2 linked regions of the Arabidopsis thaliana genome follow. The protein of the gene in region 2 interacts with the protein of the main gene of each other region in a biochemical or structural test. Each region holds a gene or a part of one and is shown on either strand. Other genes may lie near its edges.

Region 1 (6,690 bases), 6.8 Mb from region 2:
TTGTAACATCTATATATAGAGAGAGATATGAGGAGGATTTAGTTCCTCATTTTGAAGAAGTTTGGTGTGAGTCATCATCATTGTTATCAAGAGGATTGTTAACATATAGACGAAGCAATCTCCCAAGTGACTTCCCACGTCGGTCGTGTGGTGGTTGGAGATGTGAACAGACGTCGACAAAAGCACGGACGATGAGATTGTGTTGAGGAGAAGGGTTTATGTCCAAGAAACACCTTAGAAGCTCCTTAAGTTCACTTTCCGTCTCGATATATCTCTCTTCGATCATCTGATTCATCGACTTCTTGTAATCTTCGAACGGATTGATTGATTCTTTAGCCATCGCGACGCTCTCATCGATCTTAGGACATGGGCTGCGTAAAACCGTGGGAGAAACCGGTGGTCCCGGGGTGTAGTGGCTGTGAGAGGAAGGTGGAACGGTAGAGCCGCAACCGCATGCCATAAAAATGGGTTTGAATATGGTTTTGAGTATATACTTCATCATCTTCTTGAAAGACATTTTTTTTTTTACTAGAGGAAGAGAAAACAAGTTGAGATTATTGAGTGAGGATGTTGGTGTGGGAAAGTTTGTTAAAAGAGGAACCTTTTTTTCATTTAACTTAGCTTGGAGATTCAGCATTGCTCATTGCTTTGGAGATGCACAATTTTGATGGATTTCTTTTTTAAGGAAAATAATACCATCTTGAGGTGAATTCAAAGTTATATATGATATCATTTGTAAGAAACTATCTCGAGTGATATCAAAGGATTGGACATAGAAACCGATTTGAACCAAAAAGAAATCTCTCAAACCACAACCGAACCAATATGTTTTCGTCAAGATTTTTGATGAACGGAAATATGTTTTAGTTTCGATCTGGTTACCTTTTTGGTAAACCGGAAATGGAGCATGTAAAACTACTAAGCACCCGTCTACAACTCTAAAAGGTTTTGCAGTTTCACATGAACAAGACCAATATTAAGAAATCAATGGGCTAAGGCTAATTCTATATTAAGCCTGAGAAGCTAACAAAGAAAAAAAATGAAGAATACAACGAAGGGGTTGGTTTCTCTACTTTTATTTTGCAATCTCTATTCTATGATAATGCAATGCAGCTACTGTACAAGTACAACATTAACTCTGGTTTCACCGAAATCAGATTCTATGTACAGATATATGGTGGTGCTTGTAATGTGGTATGGTAACTTCAGCTACCTGTAGGTGATCTCGTAGCAGTGGATTCTTCTGGTGTTGGGCTCGATGGAGTTTGTGGCTGCTCCAAGATTTTGTTGTCGCTCGGTCCAGCGTGGTCTTGATCAAATGTAATCATCTGGTTCCAGTCTGGTCCAGCTAATGATGAAAGAGTCAAGGAGCTCTAAACAGATATCATATTTGGGGAGGAAAAAACTCAAAAGCTCAAAGAGAGATTAGATTAAATCACAGAAAGTGATAGAAATCAAGGATACATTCATCTGGCCACATGTCTGTGATGCTGACTTCGCCTACCTCTGATCGAAACCAGTAATCTACACCCATCTGTATATAATGTAACATACAGGTAAATATGAATTAAGTCAAGCATGATTTTTTAGATATGGTTACTTTTCCAGACTGTGATTATGTACATTGGTGAAAATTTTAAGCTGAGGAAGCAGTTGGGACTTACATCCAAATCTGGAGGAACAATCTTCATGATACCATCGACAAAGTCATGAGATTCGATGTCAGAGTAAACTCTTTGCGTATCATCAACTTCCTGTGTTTCCATGTTTCTTTCGGTGCTTTCCTCTTTCATCGGCATAGATACATCATGGTTCTCAGGGAGACCAGATGTTGATGGAAGATTTGAAGGTACATCAGGGACATTAGAGGGTTCATCAGGAACATTTGAAGGTTCATCAGCCTGAGGAATGTCCTCAAAGCTCTCTTCGAATTGACTAAAAAAGCACAATATAAATGTCAGTCTCACTTCCATGTTACAGATTTATCCAGGGCAAGCATAACGTTTGAGGACAGTGTTACCTGACTAGGTACACGTCTATTGGTCCCATTGTGCTTCTCAGAATGATTCTGTACCTCCTCTGATAACCACCAGCCTGATTAATGGCAGGATAAGAGGTGAGAATCGTTACAGACAGTGCATCGCTCATTTGGTTTTGTGCGCTCTTAAGCTTACCTCATCAGGATCTGGAACCTCAAGAGTTGTTCCATGCGGTGCCTTTACAGCTATCAGCGTCTTATTCTAAAATAGGCACCACAAAAACATGTTTCCCCAGTGAGAAGAATGCAAGGCAAAGAGAAACACGTAATTACTAGAAGGAGACCAGACCTGGAAGCATGGTAGGTTCTTAATGTCGTTTTCAGTGACGAACAGTAACCTAAAAAGTGGAGCGTCAGAACAAACAGATATGTTTTATTGTACCTTTCGGCAGAAGAAATAGCAGGGGACGCTTACCTTTTGTTGTTTTCATCCTCACTCAAGCTTGTTAATCTTTCTTGTGATTCTCTGCAACCAGGTCGACTCTCAAAAAGATGATACAAAACAGCAGAAAAGGGAAGGAAAATTATCTGCGAAAATACCTGATTTGGTCATCTAATCTTGCCTCCTCAGCTGCGAGGTTTTGTACTTCATCCTGTAAGATTGGTAACAGGAATTATAAAACATGAATAGTTTTTCGAACCAAAAACCCAAAACAAGAAATCAATGCAAGTGACTGAGATCGAAGAAAAACTGCAGTACCAATTTCCACTTATTCAACAGGTTCAAACATAAAACAGAAACTCATCATTCAAAGGTGCCAGTACGGGTATACAAAACAGAGCTTGTGGTTACATGTCATCGATGTTTGTGTGTATGGTAAATTTACTAGTATCCTAGTTACCTCCTAACACATTTAGCTCTCAGAAAACAGGCATAACAAGAATCATACTAATGCAGATTCATACGATGTTCAAGAAGACAATGCAAGCTAAGATATACCCTTAACGTGAAAACAATAATAAAACTGGTGATAATACTGAGCATTGCATAACAGAGTTCGCAGTGAAATGTGCAATGAAAAGGTAAAGAATATATAGGCATGTTCTGTACCTGTAGGTTAGCTATGCTTTCGATTGTTTCTCCTGGTTTTGAGACATCGAGACCCCTAAGACAGACAAGAAAATTCAGAGTACTGTCGCTCACACATGAGTCATCAAATGGAAGGAATCCAAGATTTGACAGTTCTAAGACATGCTTACTTCCACTGAATCCTGTTCTTAAGCGTCTTCTCTATCAAACCTATTCCTTCTAACACATTGGTTATATCATATATCCTTCTCTTTTGTACCTGCATCAACAGGAACATACAGCTAAGTTTGACAGAAAGTAATACATCAATATGGGAGTCTAGAGTTCAAATATGTCACCTCTAAAGTATCAGCTGCTTTGTTTAGATCAAGAATACCATCCTCTGCTTGTTTTATCAAATTGATAAATTTCTTTGTCAAAAGACCTGAAGCAGATTAAATCATTAAAAAAACTTATTATCCAAAAGTACATTTTTTAAACATTAGTTAATGAAATAAGTTATTACCTAACGAACTATCATATCGACAAGTACCGGCCTGTGCAAAGTTATTTCCAGGAGAACCTGCCAACACAAAAGATCCTTCTCACTACATTGCAATATCTCCACTCTTTAAAGAAGATTTAGCTCAGATGAGCACATAAGAAATATTTCTCATTGGCATACTAACACAGAGCATTTAGAACCAAACTCACCTGCATTAGAGCCAGAAGCTAGCGTTCCAGACTTATTAGACTTCGCAGACCTAGAAGTTTTCTTGGCTTTCCCCCCTTTCCCTGATACAGGTGTTTGAAGAACACCGGTATTCAATTCATTGACCTCAACTATTTGGTTTACCAAATCTGTCTTACGCTTCAGCTGCCAATAAAGTCACCAAAATTGAACAGTTAAATACATCAACGAATTGAACAGAATCAAATCCTATCAGCATCATACTGTCACTATGCTGAAATCTAAAAGCATAGACACAACTTTTACCAATTCCAACATAGCAAAATTCAGAAACTAATTTAACTAAACATAAACACAAAAGTGCATGAATCTGCTCTAAATAGCAATAACAGTAACACCACAAACCCTAAGTCCAGCAACTAAACTACTCAATAAGTACTTGCAATGCTAATTCCAATACTACAAACAAGGTTAATCAAAAGAGACCAAACGCAATTAACACCAACAGAAGCAGATCCCGACACAATTCTCATCAAAATCTAAAGCAACGACATCATCAAAATCATAATCAATAAAACCAAACCTCACACACAATCGAAAACACGAGAATTATAAAGCAAAATTCACAAGCAAAATTGAGAAGAAAAAAGACTTACAGTAGATTTGATCACAATCGCGTCAGAGACAACCTGATCAGCAACAGCTCCACCACCGCGAGTCTCCGCCGCATCAAACCGGTGATACTCACCAGGAGCAACTAGAGGAGGCTTCATAGAAGAAAGAGAAGGATGAAGCTGCCGCTTAGAAGATGGGAATTGTTGAGGTACTTCTTCAGACATAAGAACGAATCTCGATAAAAAATCCCCCAAAAAAAAAAAGAAACGGCGAAAATTGTCACGGAAACTCGGATCTCCGGTAAGCAGAGATCCCAATAACGATTAAGAAGCAGATCTACGGCGGGAATTACGGAGATTCCGGGAAGAGAATGTGAAGAGATCGGCGAATCGAAAAAAAGCGGGAGAGGAGAAGAAGATGAAGAAGAGGAAGGATTATAAAAAAAAAAAAAAAAAGAGACGGTGGAAGAGGAAGAGAGAAAACGAGGGAATGAGTTGCGTTTGGTTCTGAATACTGATGTGGAGGGAATTAGCGCTCTTTATCTCTCTCTTTGTACACAAATCTTTTTACCAATATCTCTCTACTAAATAATAATAATCCTATTTTTATATATAATACAAAATTATAAAATTTTAAGTAAGTTTTTTTTTTTTTAAAGTCAACGAAGTTAATAAAGCTATGTAACTAATTTGGATACAGTTTTATTTCCTTGAGATTGAGGGGAAAAAAATGAATTTTGGATTTATTCATGTTAAGAAGTGGAGCATAATAATTTCATCAAACTGTTGCAGCATCCGTTACACGCGTTAAGTGTGAGCAATTATCGTCAAAATCTGTCGAACTTATACGTTTTTTTGTTTTTAATTCATAGGTGAGGCAAAACTATATTGATGAAAATTATGCTCATGAGTGTCTCATCATTTAACAACTTTTTTAAATGGAACCTCGAAACATAGGGATTCCAAATCATAGCACCAAGACAATAGAAACATGTGTCGTCTGAATGCAGACACTTGGATCTCTTATGAATGCTATACTGTTTAGAGAAGATAATATATATTTATAGACTGAGCTTCCAAAACACAAGCTTTAAGTATGACTGTATGAGTAATCAAAAAAGATACTAAGACTTTGAAAGCTTCATACATAACAAACAGAGACAACAATAGAAGAACCCCTTTTTACTTGAACAAATGGGCAAGATCAGGGTCATCTAAATCTACATCAAGCGATCCATTTAACCGCATAAACTCGATGTAGCTATCTGGAGGAGTGATCGCACGAGTGTTGTTCTTCGGTTTGAATCCATGAACTCTCTGGAGATCTCTTGCGAGCCAACGCAGAAAAACTTTGTCCAATGGAGGTACAATCTTCAAATGGATCTCTTCGCGTTCTTCTTTCACCGTTGTAGCTTTGTTTCCCATCTTGCAAAACCCGATCTTTACATACATCATATATAGTATCGTCACATTGTCCAAACCACAAAAACAAGTTATCTAGTCAACAAGATGATTATGCAACACTTTTAGCAGATGCATTTTGGGATTAACACTTAACACAATCTATAATTTCTCCATGCACACCAATATTGCAAGTGTGTAACATTTACATGTTCGGATGCAAATTATCTCGTGAATAACACAATCGTCAATTCGTCATAACCATCTAAAAGGAGAGACTAAAAAGTTCTATAGAAGCTATACACTAACCTTAAGGACCATCAAAACCTTAATTAAGAGACCAAACTATTATACATCAACCAAGTAATCATCTCAGCGTCCATTTTTAAAGCTATCTTTGTTCCACTATGTCCAAGAATCATAAGATCCTCGAGCAAATAAATTGTACAAGATGAGACATCTATGAACCACCAATTCAAGGTCAATTCTTCAAGATGATTAACATGATAATATCAATTAGAAATCAACTCATTCATGAATACTAAGTCTACATTTAAAACCCCTAAATCAATGAGAAAACTGGAGAAATTACTTCAAATTTCTATCATCACTATATACCCAAAAAATCAGGTAAAATCCTAGCCAGCAAATTAAGCTTAGCGATATGATATAGATTCAAGAGATTTTACCTTTTTCAATCAGAGAGACAAAACATCAGAAACCGAAAGTGAGTCGAAGAATTTCTGACCAGACAGACACTATAGAGCGTTTTGCAGAGCTAAACCAATGTCGTATCGCTAGCTGTATGTCATTTTCTGGGTTAAGCCTAGTAACATAAAAAGCCCATTAGCTTTCACTTTTTCTTTGGGCCAACTGTTATGGTTTAAATGTGGAAACATAGCGACGAATGCTCAAAAAGGTGAACTACACTCTACAG
Region 2 (5,285 bases):
AGGCTCTTTTTGTTTTATATATTATATACATATTTGCTTAGGGTTTTGGGAAGGTGGAGGAGAGTGAGTGTGTCCGATTGCTTAACCCATAAGTTTCTTTCTGATTCTCTCTTTCTGGCAATACTGCTACTTCTGTACTATGTGTGCAAATTATACATATACACAGTTTTAGAAAATAAAAGAAAAAAGCACTTAGCTTGACTGGTTGTATGGTTTAAACTTTAAAGTCAGTAAAAATCAGAAAACATTGATGTACGTCAAGATATTTAGAAACGTTTTAATTAGCATGCAAAAAATCGAAAAATAAAATAAAAGATGATAAACGTTAGGATTGGATCTAGGTGACGTTAGTACTTAGTGGTATTCAAGAGAAAACTGCAATTGTGATATATCTTAGTTGTTCTATAAGAAAATTAGGGCTGATATGATATCTACTGCTTTTGTGGACTATATCAGCTACAAATCTAATTATACAGAAGAGAAATTGGTTGTGCTTGAATTTTAGTACGTCTATATACCTCAACTTTAACTAAACAAGTAACTAATAGATTGGACTAAAATGGGCCAACACTAATTACTAAATAATATTAGATGATATTGATTTAAAATGTATTGAGAATGAGTAGATTAAGTTGATGAAAAGAATAGTATATAGTATTTATTTTGACGGCAATTGAAAAACAGTCCAACATTCTTCCGAAGTGTCCCCAACCAATTTCGCTTTTCTTTCCCTCGAACCGCCGCGATGTCTCTTTTTTTCCTTTTCCAGACAAAAAACATTATTTTTGCATGGGAATTGCAAATTTTGAACTTTCCTAGCACACGCGCCATTTAAGCGCGTAAATTGAATCTAACTAGCTTCGGTAAACCAACCTAACCGGAGACTAAATTTGTTAGACCAATCAAACAGAAGGAAAATAGCCAATAGATTCAACACGGTTAGTTTTGGTTTAAAACAATAGTTTCTGTTTCCGTTGAAATATCGCATCAAGTTCGAATAAAAAGGAAAATTGGATAAACAAACATTTGTTGGCCTATGAATTGATTTTACAGTCTCTCTCAATTGAACACTAAACCAGATGTATAATTTTTTAGTATACCAATTAGATCATTACTTCTTCTTCTTGAAGAATTTGGGAATAGAAGCTCGGTCAGCGAGTATCAATGGATCCCGAGTTCCAGCAAACCGGGCCTGAGGTTCCAGAAGCAATGCAAGAACTGGATGAAGAATGAGCGGAGCTATGTTGAGATTGGTGATGTGTAGATGAAGAAGAAGATACTCTGTTCTGTTCTTGCTTCTGTTCTTGCATCAGTTTCAAAATGTAAGCATCATCATGGACCGAGAAAGGTGTGCTGCTCACAACAAAATTTACGAAGATTTCAATTCCGATTTAAGAGATAGCAGAACTGATTTTGATTTTGAGAAGAAATGTTGTTTATTTTTACCTATTGAAGTCGAGGTGTACAAGTTGCATATCTTCAGAAATCTCGATTTCGACTACTGCGTGAGGGTTTGTCTATAGAGATGGAAATAGATTAGGATATCGAAAAACATGAAATAGAAACTACGGACGAGAAAGAGATTTTTGAAGTACCTCAAGTAGAATGAATGGTAAGGTAAATCCTTCTGCTGGGCCTTGAGTCTTCACAACCATCTCTTGATTTCTCGACATAAGACTCTCAAGACTTGAGACCTGATGATAACAACATTTGAGTAACATTATAAGCAAAACGTAGAAAGACGGTTTAACATTTCATTAAGACAACATAAAATGATTCAATACACGACGTATCTATGGATTCTAGAAAACCTGCAATATCAATAACTTTTGTCATCTATTGACATGCATAACAAGATCTCAAATTCTAAGAGAGTCTTGTATTTAAATTTTCCATCAAACAGAAAGAAGATCACCTTTTCTCTCAACTCTTTAAGAAAAGCAGCCTTCTTTTGCACACTGCTCATAACTTTATTACGATCCATCTGCAAATAGAGGTAGAGAGATTAGTAGAGAAGACGAAGAGAGAGAGCAATTACATAGATGAGATAACTGAAAGGAAAAGCTTGGAAGCTAAACCTTGACTTCTTCCACATCCTTTTTGCAGGTAATAGGAAGTCCTTTCCACCGGATTTCCTTTTTATCCCTTGCAATAATATCCAACGCCATGAACACATTGAGCGCATCGTAGACTCTCCGCCTTATGTTCTTCTCATTGTACTGATTGAACATAAGAGAATGTTGTTATAGCTTTTTTTTTTTCCAAATAACTCAAGACAGATGATATGAGCTTTCCATCTCGCTATACCTCATTTTCATTCAAAGGCTTCTCTGCGTTTTGCTTAATTGTGGCAAAATCTGAAATAATTTCGTCTGCAACCTGGAATCACAAGAGCCACAGTCTCAAACGTAGATTTTCACATTTTCTGATACAATGCCTCTATATAAGGGCAAGACTCCTGATTAGAAGAAGAATTTGAGACAATGCTCAACAACTAACTTAGAGGATTGCTTCTTGAAGTGAATACTTGTTCATATAAAGATCAATTCTAATGCGTCTTAAACTGAAAACTCATTGATTACATCACCAATTCCTTAATGGAACAAAGAGAGTAATACCTCCTTGTAAGTAGTTATCTTCTTGGCTTCCAACTTCTGACAAACTGTGTGAAGTTAAATCAAAATCAGCAAAACAACAATACTTTCACTTCAGGCATGTTTGAGCTAAGAGAGATATATCACTGACCCATAACACTGAATTGACGAAGCCCGCCTCCAGAAGTTCTTGATTGCCCTTTCTTCTCTGATCTTTTAAACACAAATTCAATACAGACATTTTAGCTCCAAGTAAAAAAACCAGAGACTTTGTGAGTAAGAAGAATAATTAACACTGACCCAATTTCAGAATCATCATCAACAATCAATTTCCTTCTCACTGGAGTTTTCTCAACGCTCACTGAAGGATGTTGCCTCTGCTTCTCTGGAGTGACAAACAACTCCATCTCCATACTCATCCTTCTCTACACAATTTACCAATTAACAAAGTTAGCTACACGAAATCAAATCAATTAGTTGTTCATGTCTCAAATCCATCGTTGACTAAAACCGATGAATCAATAGACACAATCTAAAAAACCCTAAATTGTTGACAGCTCCAATTTCAATTTTTTAACAAAAGCTAAACAAAATTTATGAAATGGGAATCATCAACCAGTTGGATTAGATCTAACGATGGTGAAGAAAACCCTAGTTCAGAGAAATAAAGGCTAAAGCTCGAATCCGTTTCAAAAGATCAAAGAACGAACCAGTGATCGATCTTCCAATGGCGGAATAAAAAAAGATGGAGATTTTTTTTCTAGGGTTTTGGTTTTACTCTTTTTATTACACAGAGATGCGAACAACAACCAAAAAAAAAAAATCGGAGATGAAATTACTTTGGGTGAGAGTTCCCGCTATAAACAAACAAACAAACTGTAACAACAAACAAACACAGAATTCTCCATAGCCCATCAAAAGCCTCAACAAAAACAAAACACACGCACTCTCTGTGTTCGAACCCAACCGCTACGGTGTCGTTTTTCAACTTTGGCGGGGGATTTAAATGGGCCTTTTGTAACTCTTTGTAATTTTAAGCCCGTTGGGCTAATTATATGTCTAAAATCGATCACGTATTAAACTCTTTGATAATCGATAACGTTACCAAATAAATAATGAAAATTTGGCTGTCTCTATTACATATGTTGACAGTTGTGTTTGTATTCGATCCAATTGTTTAAAAAATAATAATATTAAGTTCACTGAATCTTGAAAAAATGTTTGGTACGTATGCATTTAAGTTATTGAAAACATTATCGCTAGCTTATAAAGTTTATGATTTTTTCGTCTTATATATAAGACATGGTCCGTATCATCAACTTGTAACTATTAAAAAAAAAAACTCACTATTCTCATATACTTTTTATTTCTTTTCTAAGATGCTTATAGTTTTACACGTTAGTGCTTTAAGCCTGCAACGTGTGAGAAGGTTGCGTTGCACTTTCACTAGATCGAAAGAATATATGCATAGTTGCTTGATCCTTTTTCTTTTTCTTCTTTATACGATGATCGTACTCGTATAGTACTGAAAACTATATGATAAATTTCAGCATAACTGTTTGTTCAAGTTGTTAACCGATTAAAAGCTTTAAAGTTTGAAAAAGGATATGTTTATGATAATTGCAACCACTTGGTACTTGCCACTTGTTCTCCATGATTGTTTTTTTTCTCTCCATATGAAGATTAAATTAAATTATTTTGTTTGTAGTTTTAACTAGTTCGAGTTGATAAGAAAGTTTGGAGCATGGCCATGAGAACCAAAGCTGTTCCTAGTTCCTACGCTGCTTGATTGCGGAGAGTCATTCTCTTACTCATTGCTTCATCATCATTTCCAACCGTTTAGAGTTTCACTAGCCATGTTTCTCTTCTTCACCTCTTTTTTTGTTTAACCTTTATGTATACCTTCCTTCTCGTATACCTTAATCAGACCGGTATGGACTAATCAATTCCTCATGCTATTCATAGCTATGCACTATCATAAGATTTTGAAACAATATAACTTCAAATTTGATTTGTTTACTTTGATGTTTCTATGTGTTGTCAGAATATATAAATATATGTTTTGTCATTACAAAAAAAAGAAATAGTGTGATCTATTTAAATGTTTGTTTGCTGTTTGTATATCTGTCGTTGTTTTGGGAGATGAGAGGTGGCAACTCCCAATATCTTTTTGGGGTCATCTTCAATGTCTTCTCAGATCTCAATTATTGAGTTTTTAAAGTCATGTTTGATTCTTTCTTCTCTTTTTTTTGGTTCACTAATTCTACTCTTTAATTAGTCTTCTTTTTTTGTCAACTTTCGTTTATATCACATAAACAATTATATCTATTGCAGTAAATATATTATTCATAATGTTCAAGTGTCCCTTGAGGAACTGAACATACAATAAACAAAATAATGTTACCGTATCATATGGTATGCGTATTTATTCCAGTAGCTTTTTCTTTCTTAACATCTGAAATCTAGTAGAGTAATAGACTATTTATTTAATTTTGGAAATTTAATATGTTTTTTATATTTTTCCTATGTTTGCCCAAAATTGTTTTTACACAATCATTACTCGCCTTCATAAATTAAAAACTGACATGGTGAAATACATCAACAAGCTAATATGATACTCATAAAACTGACTCAAAATGCATTTTTTTTTTTTAAAGTAAAAAATATGTTGTCCTCGTAGTTATCCTCAAA

Evidence for each region. Proteins that work in one complex are often made in the same cells at the same time.
Region 1: the proteins of DPA (region 2) and E2F1 form a complex in vitro, tested with the Arabidopsis thaliana proteins (one study listed by BioGRID).

Annotation. Positions count from the first base shown.
Region 1 is NC_003076.8:7,358,636-7,365,325, reverse strand, and holds E2F1 (E2F transcription factor 1), read right to left. Parts: upstream 4,792-6,690; 5' UTR 4,578-4,791; coding exon 4,395-4,577; intron 3,925-4,394; coding exon 3,762-3,924; intron 3,631-3,761; coding exon 3,574-3,630; intron 3,493-3,573; coding exon 3,407-3,492; intron 3,328-3,406; coding exon 3,239-3,327; intron 3,145-3,238; coding exon 3,090-3,144; intron 2,632-3,089; coding exon 2,579-2,631; intron 2,505-2,578; coding exon 2,454-2,504; intron 2,377-2,453; coding exon 2,328-2,376; intron 2,241-2,327; coding exon 2,175-2,240; intron 2,095-2,174; coding exon 2,021-2,094; intron 1,936-2,020; coding exon 1,665-1,935; intron 1,535-1,664; coding exon 1,465-1,534; intron 1,349-1,464; coding exon 1,206-1,348; 3' UTR 821-1,205; downstream 1-820. Other genes in the region: OFP10 (Ovate family protein), read right to left, coding at 47-637; AT5G22210 (aspartyl/glutamyl-tRNA (Asn/Gln) amidotransferase subunit B), read right to left, coding at 5,535-5,777. UniProt on the Arabidopsis thaliana protein: Transcription activator that binds DNA cooperatively with DP proteins through the E2 recognition site, 5'-TTTC[CG]CGC-3' found in the promoter region of a number of genes whose products are involved in cell cycle regulation or in DNA replication.
Region 2 is NC_003076.8:541,411-546,695, forward strand, and holds DPA (Transcription factor DP), read right to left. Parts: upstream 3,546-5,285; 5' UTR 3,305-3,545; exon of another isoform or gene 3,020-3,304; 5' UTR 3,014-3,019; coding exon 2,895-3,013; intron 2,808-2,894; coding exon 2,746-2,807; intron 2,663-2,745; coding exon 2,619-2,662; intron 2,380-2,618; coding exon 2,308-2,379; intron 2,220-2,307; coding exon 2,079-2,219; intron 1,985-2,078; coding exon 1,916-1,984; intron 1,695-1,915; coding exon 1,596-1,694; intron 1,518-1,595; coding exon 1,447-1,517; intron 1,354-1,446; coding exon 1,152-1,353; 3' UTR 908-1,151; downstream 1-907. UniProt on the Arabidopsis thaliana protein: Involved in the regulation of the G1/S transition. Increases the DNA binding and the transactivation activities of E2F proteins after heterodimerization. The complex DPA/E2FA promotes cell division and acts as a regulator of the endocycle.